Cricetulus griseus: one gene and its partner. The protein of the gene in region 1 purifies or fractionates together with the protein of each later gene. This does not show direct contact. Links are inferred from orthologs where the notes say so. Each region holds a gene or a part of one and is shown in the gene's direction. Other genes may lie near its edges.

What was found.
Region 2: the proteins of Tradd (region 1) and Birc2 purify together in Homo sapiens (affinity purification with western blotting; 3 studies listed by BioGRID and IntAct, with this or other methods). This does not show direct contact. The link is inferred for Cricetulus griseus from reciprocal best matches to the Homo sapiens genes TRADD and BIRC2.

Annotation. Positions count from the first base shown.
Region 1 is NC_048596.1:181,546,575-181,550,088, reverse strand, and holds the end of Tradd (tumor necrosis factor receptor type 1-associated DEATH domain protein), read left to right. Parts: intron 1-554; 5' UTR 555-562; coding exon 563-713; intron 714-1,455; coding exon 1,456-1,733; intron 1,734-1,813; coding exon 1,814-2,006; intron 2,007-2,154; coding exon 2,155-2,465; 3' UTR 2,466-2,918; downstream 2,919-3,514. UniProt on the Homo sapiens protein: Adapter molecule for TNFRSF1A/TNFR1 that specifically associates with the cytoplasmic domain of activated TNFRSF1A/TNFR1 mediating its interaction with FADD.
Region 2 is NC_048597.1:122,214,193-122,217,843, reverse strand, and holds part of Birc2 (baculoviral IAP repeat-containing protein 2), read left to right. Parts: coding exon 1-523; intron 524-610; coding exon 611-710; intron 711-3,651. UniProt on the Homo sapiens protein: Multi-functional protein which regulates not only caspases and apoptosis, but also modulates inflammatory signaling and immunity, mitogenic kinase signaling, and cell proliferation, as well as cell invasion and metastasis.

The DNA of each region.
Region 1 (3,514 bases):
CTTCCTTAGTGGTCCTCCCAGGGATGCAGAGTTTAGTTTCTTTAGTTTAGTTTGATCCCTATATCAAATCTTGACTGGTTTCTGATGAATGTGAGTGAGATGTGTACCTTGGGCAGTCTTACGTTTCACATTCAAACTTGGGTCTAGGCAGTGAAAATTAAGTGAAGCCAGGTATAGTGGGAACTTTCCACCTGAACTTTCCAAATAATAGTTTATTTGGAACTTAAGGTTAAGCTGAAGGCAAAGCTAAGACTTGAATCTGGCTGGTCTTAAAGCATGAGCACCATCCAGAAGGAAGATGTCTTTTGTCAGCTTTGATAAGAGGGACATACTGGCTTGGGGCCCACTAAAGGGCCCACCTCTGTTATTCTGTTATTGTGACCCTAGACTTTTTGTCACAGGTGGTGGAGGGACAATCCTGGGTTCAAGTCTGGGTTGGACTGGGCAGGACTGTGAGCAGAGCCAAAAGCTGGGACCTCTGTGGAAGGACAGCTGGGCAATGTGAGACTGGATAGTTGTTTCCAAGTCTGGAGATGATCTGTTTGCATCTCCAGGAGTCGAGATGGCAACTGGACAAAATGGACATGAAGAGTGGGTAGGCAGTGCATACCTGTTTTTGGAGTCTTTGATGGACAAGGTGGTCCTGTCTGAAGCCTACACAGATCCTCAGAAGAAGCTGTCAATATACAAGGCTCTGCAGACTGCATTGTCAGGTGTGTGGCTGGCCTGCTGTAGAGGTGACTCTGGGACTTTGTGAATGGGACTGGGTTTGAGGCCCCACTTCTTTGCCTTTAGGAAAAAGATTATTTTGGTGTGGGGTTGGGAGAGGTATGAAGGCAGAGGGAGGACCTCCGGCTGTATGGGGTCTGCAACCTTTGCTTATTGCATGGGTCCTTGAGTGTAGACATTTGTGCACTTGTTTGTGTCTATCTAGATATACCTGTTTCTTTTCTTTCTTTTTAAAAGCATCTTGCCCCACGCCCCCCTTTTAAGAAGATATATTTATTATGTATATAGTCTTTTGCCTGCATGTCATCCTGCAAACCAGAAGAGGGCACCAGATCTCATTATAGATGGTTGTAAGCCACCATGTGGGAATTGAACTCAGAACCTCTGGAAGAGCAGCCAGTGCTTTTAACCTCTAAGCCATCTTTCCAGCCCCGTTTTCTTTTCTAATGCCACCTTGATGTATATTCATCCCCACTTCTGAATAACCAGTTCACTCTTTGCTACTAACGGTGCTTTTCTGTCTTCTTTTCCTTTCTCACTGCCCAAACCCTTCCCCAGTACCTACCCTTTCTGTTCCCCTTCCCCTACCCAGGGCAGAAAGCACAGGGGGCTGTAGCTGGTTGAGGGTCGGGAGAATGGTCTGACTATGGGCTTACCCTCCTGTTCTGGCTGCTTGGAAAAAAGCCGTTTGGGAACAGCGGGTGGCCTGACTGCTCGTCTCTGCAGAGAGTGCGGACAGCCCTGACGTACTGCAGATACTCAAGATCCACTGCAGCGACCAGCAGCTAATCGTGCAGTTACGGTTCTGCGGGCGTCTGCTGTGCGGCCGGTTCCTCCAAGCCTACCGCGAGGGGGCGCTGCGCACCGCGCTGCAGAGGTGCATGGCCTCGGCACTTGCCCAGGAAGCGGTGCGGCTGCAACTGGAGTTGCGTGCTGGCGCAGAGCAGCTGGACACTTGGCTGACCGACGAGGAGCGCTGTTTGAATTACATCTTAGCCCAGAAGGTGCTGCCATCTGGAGTTAGGATGGGATGGGTGGGGATTTGCGGCCCAAAGCCGCACTTACTGTGCACCCCTTTGTGCAGCCCGACCGGCTCCGGGATGAGGAACTCGCCGAGCTGGAGAATGAACTCCGCAAGCTGACGTGCGACTGCACTGGCCAGGGTGGAGCCATACAGGTTGATTCAGCCTCTTCGAAGTCCCTTGTTCCCTCTCCAGCCGAAGAGAAGCTATTGCCGGTGGCCTGCCAGACTTTTCTGTTCCATGGTCAGCCCGTAGGTGAGGTTCAGCAGCAGAAGCGTGGCCACCAGGAGGTTGATCTGGGCTGGAGCATGGCTGGACCCAGGGCTACACAGGCAGGCACGGGAGGGTGCTGGCATCAGGGAACTGGTGCTCACTCACCTCTCCTCACTTTCTTTCTCTGCAGTGAACCGGCCATTGAATCTGCAAGACCAGCAGACATTCGCGCGTTCAGTGGGCCTCAAATGGCGCAGAGTGGGGCGCTCGCTGCAGCGTAGCTGTCGAGCACTGAGGGATCCTGCCCTCGACTCGCTAGCCTATGAGTATGAGCGAGATGGGCTATACGAGCAGGCTTTCCAGCTGCTGCTCCGCTTCATGCAAGCCGAGGGCCGCCGTGCCACGCTGCAGCGCCTGGTGGAGGCGCTGGAGGAGAACGAGCTCACCAGTCTTGCAGAAGATCTGCTAGGCCAGGCGGAGCCGGATGGCGGCCTGGCCTAGGTCTGGTACTGTGGGGAGGGCGGTCAACCAGCTGGCCAGCCAGGGTTTGGTCCCCACTGGTGGCTATTGGGGTCTTTTTACTGCTGCTGTTGCTACTGCTGACCGCTTTCCACCCACTGGACTCAGAGCATACGTACTACCCCCACTTTGCCGAGCTGCTGGAGTGGAGCTGACTTCCCCGGAAGGCAGGCAGGCATCAGTACATCACTGAGGATTCGACCCAGATTCTTTGAAGGAGACAGTGTAGTCCTTGACTTCTCATCCTAAAAGAGGACTTCCTGCAAAAACTCACCAAGTACCTGGACCTCCTGAGGTCTAGATGTCATTCAAGGTGCTGTAAATACTGTTGTGATCAGGATGCACAAGTCTTCCTGATCACAACGTGCCCTTAGCTCATACTCAACGTGGGACCCAAGCACTTTGCAACGAAATAAAATGTAACTCTTTTACAGACTTGTGGAGATACCGAGGTCAAGTCCAGGTTGGGGTTAGGTTCTTTCAAGGGACGAGTGAGCCAGGTGGAGTTGGGAGAGGAGGGGCAGGATTCTGGGTACAGTGGGCTCAGGTGGGGTCTCAAGGAAGCTGAGGAGGATGTTAGGACAAGTTTAGAGGGGTTAGATGGGAGGAGGGATTGCTTTCTGTCCTATTAGTGGGGGTTTGGCGAACCATTATAGTTTTGTTTTTTTTTTAAATTTGGTTGGGGTGTGTGTGTGTGTGTGTGTGTGTGTGTGTGTGTGTGTGTGTGTGTACTTAAAACAGATATTACAATGAGCCTTAATTAGAAAAATTAAAATTTCAATTGGGCAGTGGTATCATACACTTTTGATCCCAGCACTGGGAGGCAGAGACAGGCGGTTCTCTTGAGTTTGAGGCCAGTTCCTGGACAGCCAGGACTACACAGAGAAATTGTCTCAAACAAACAAAGAAAACAAATTAATATTTCAAATACATTATTAGAGAATTTTACAATTGGAAAGGGATGGAAAATTTTACAGACTAGTAAATCCTAATTGAAATGATCAGGCAAATATAGTAAAACTGCATCTTTC
Region 2 (3,651 bases), on another chromosome or scaffold:
GCTAATCTGCAGTCTCCATCCAAGAACACAGCTCCTGTGAGAAGTGGGCTTGCACATTCGTTACCTATTCCAGAACGAGCGGGTACTCACTCCAACTTGTCCTCAAATCCTCTCAATTCTAGAGCAGTGGAAGACTTGTCATCAAGGACCAATCCCTGCAGCTATGCCATGATTACTGAAGAGGCCAGATTTCTTACTTACAGTATGTGGCCATTAAGCTTTCTGTCACCAGCTGAGCTGGCCAGAGCCGGCTTCTACTATGTGGGACCTGGAGACAGGGTGGCCTGCTTTGCGTGTGGTGGAAAACTGAGCAACTGGGAACCGAAGGATGACGCTATGTCAGAGCATCGGAGACATTTTCCCAACTGTCCATTTCTGGAAAATTCTTCAGAAACGCAGAGGTTTAGTATATCAAATCTGAGTATGCAGACACATACTGCTCGAATGAGGACGTTTCTGTGCTGGCCGTCCAGTGTTCCTGTTCAGCCTGAGCAGCTTGCAAGTGCTGGATTTTACTATGTGGGTAAGATGTTAACAGAGACTAGAACTTTCTCTTTTTTGTTTATGGGAATATACATGAGTCAGTTTCTCATCTTCTTTTCTTGTTTAGATCGCAATGATGATGTCAAATGCTTTTGTTGTGATGGTGGCTTGAGGTGTTGGGAATCTGGAGATGACCCCTGGGTAGAACATGCCAAATGGTTTCCAAGGTAATTGGTTCTTTGATTGTTTTTGTTGAGACAGGGTCTTTCTGTGTAGCCCTGGCTGTTCTGAAACTAGCTCAGGCTGGCCTGGAACTCAACAGCAATCTGCCTGCCTCTGCCTCCTGAGTGCTGGGATTAAAGGCATGTGCCACCGATGCCCGGCTATCCCTAACCTCTTAATTTTTATTATTGCTTAAAATAAATTTAGGGGCACAGTTGTTAGTGAAATAGAATTAGAAATTGTATATTTGTAACCAATTAACTATGTGAACTTGGACATAATTTCTAAAATAAATGGGCTGTTAGGAGTTTTTATCATGATAAAATATACATAAAAATATACCAATTTAGCCTTCTAAAATGTATTCTTGTGCAGCATAAAGTGCATGTGTACTGTTTTACAGTCATGTTCAGAGCCTTTTCATCTTCTCACTCTGAAACTCTGTATCCCATACACTTGAAAGCATCCCCCCCACCCCTGGCAACCAGCCTTTTACTTGCTATATCTGAATTTTTTACTTTAGGTACCACATGTAAGTGGAATCATACAATGAAGAAAGTTTGGACTTGTGCATGCCTTCCATAATAATGATAAATCTGTTGGACCTCCTTCAGGAAATTACAGGGACCTTTGGTCATTTTTGTGTGATATATGATGAAAAGGAATTTGGAAGTAGAAATGTTTATAGTGGATCAATCCATTGTATATGATGGGGTAGGGAGTGCACCCATGCCCACACGCCTTTAATCTCAGCACTTAGGTGGAAGAGGCATGTAATCTCTGTGAGCAGAGGCCAGACTGGTCTACATAGCAAGTTCAGGTCAGCTCAGGTTGAGGCAGAAGGAGTCTGAGGTCAAGGTTAACTTGGGCTACATTGTGAGCCCCAGACCAACTCAGCTAGTTGGCCAGACCCGATCTGGAAAAAAACAGTAAGCAAAAAAAAAATTCTTATCCAAGGAAAATAAAGCACAATTTGCTAGTGGAGGTCATAGGACAACTCTTCTTTCACCATGTGGGTTCTGTGAATGGAATGCAGGTCGTCAGGCTTGGTGGCAGGCATTTCTGAAGGCACCCAGAGTTTGTTTCAAGGGTTCTCTTAATGCAACAAATTTGACAAGTGATTTCATAATGTTGTAGGTCTTATTGGAGGTTGATCTTTAAGAACATGTTTGAAAAAAAGCAACATTTCTCCATAGTAATGCTAGTATGAATTTAGTCTTCACTGTTGAAAATGTCAGAATTTTAAATGACAACCATACTTGTGGGCTTATATGTTGTAACTTGAAATTTAACTTATATATAAAAGACAAAAACGTTCTAAATTCTAACATTTGAATTGCTATACTTTGTAAAACAAAATTCTTCACCCTGTTTTAAATGCCAAGGGAGAAGACAGGAATGGTTTTTGTCAGTGCAGCTCAGAACAGGTTTCAGCTGTGACTGTTTGCTCTCAGCAAAGACAGACTAACAGATGGTCATTATCACTAGGTTTTAGTATATATAGTTCACTCATTTGTCAGATTCAGGTGTGCTGCGCTCTGAGGGCAGTCAGGACTGCTATACTACATGTCTTTAACCATTCTGCTGATTGGTTTCTGTCATTGACACACTGGTCACCTGGGAAGAGGGACCTCAGCTGAGGATTGCCTCCCTCACATCTTAAAGCAGTCTGCTATGAAAACTGATGATTTCAGCTGCACAGAAACTGCCTCTGTCTTCCCAGCATACCATGGCTTTGGTGTCACTATATCCTTCTAAGTTTATTTATTGTTTATCTTCTTTCTTTCTTTCTTTCTTTCTTTCTTTCTTTCTTTCTTTCTTTCTTTCTTTCTTTTTTTGGTTTTTCGAGACAGGGTTTCTCTGTGTAGCTTTGGAGCCTATCCTGGCACTTGGTCTGGAGACCAGGCTGGCCTCGAACTCACAGAGATCCTCCTGCCTCTGCCTCCTGAGTGCTGGGATTAAAGGCGTGGGCCACCAACGCCTGGCCTATTGTTTATTTTTCATATGATAATTGTAGCTACAGTTATTTCTAATACTGTTTTTATTAGGATAGTTGTCACTATAGTTGTAGCTATAGTTATTTCTAACACTGCCTTTATTTAATAGGACAGTTATAACTACAATTGTAGTTACAGTTGTTTTTAGCACTGTGATGGACTGGGGTAGTACTGAAGGTTGATTCTGGGCTTTGTGCATTGTAGATAGGCACTTTACCTGAGTCCCAGTGTTTGTTTTTTTTTTTACCTTTATGATAGAGTTGAATTATTTACACTCTGCATTACAATGTGGAGAAGTCTGAAGATGATTATGTATTTGTCTTCACCTGTAAATTTTGTACTTTCCTGTGCTCTCAAGAATTGCTCTTTGTATTCTTTCATTATAGCTTGTGTATCTGTCTTGTTCTCTTGAAACTCACCACACTCCCTGAAGATGAATATTACTTGCTTATCTGACAGCAGTTTGTAAACACCTTTCTCTTCCTTCTTTTGAATTGGTTCTTGGAAAATTTTTGTCTCCCTTTGTTGTTAGAGTTTTTGTTTTATTTATTTGTTAGTTACTTGTAATCCTGCTTCTTAGATTTTGTGTTGAGCAAAGACCTTTAACTGTGGGTGGGTGTGAGGGTTTGGGCTTGTCAGGGGTATGGCAGGCCCAGACTCCTTGGGAAGTGCAGTTTCATAGTCTCCATGGAGCTTCTGTTAGCTGAAATCCTTGTTAGTGAAGGTTTTAGAGATTCTCAGTGTCTGGGCAGCATCAAAGCTTATGATCTTTCCTGTCATGGGAAACACCCTGGCCAATGGGACCCCTGTTATACCTGTTCTGGCTTGTGAGTGTTCTCACAATGAAGGGGACGGTAGCACTGGTGTTACCTGGTTTGTCTTGATGATTGAGAGCCTGAAGAGCAGTCACAGAGCCATCTGTGTGAGTGTGTGGAGAGAGCACTGACTG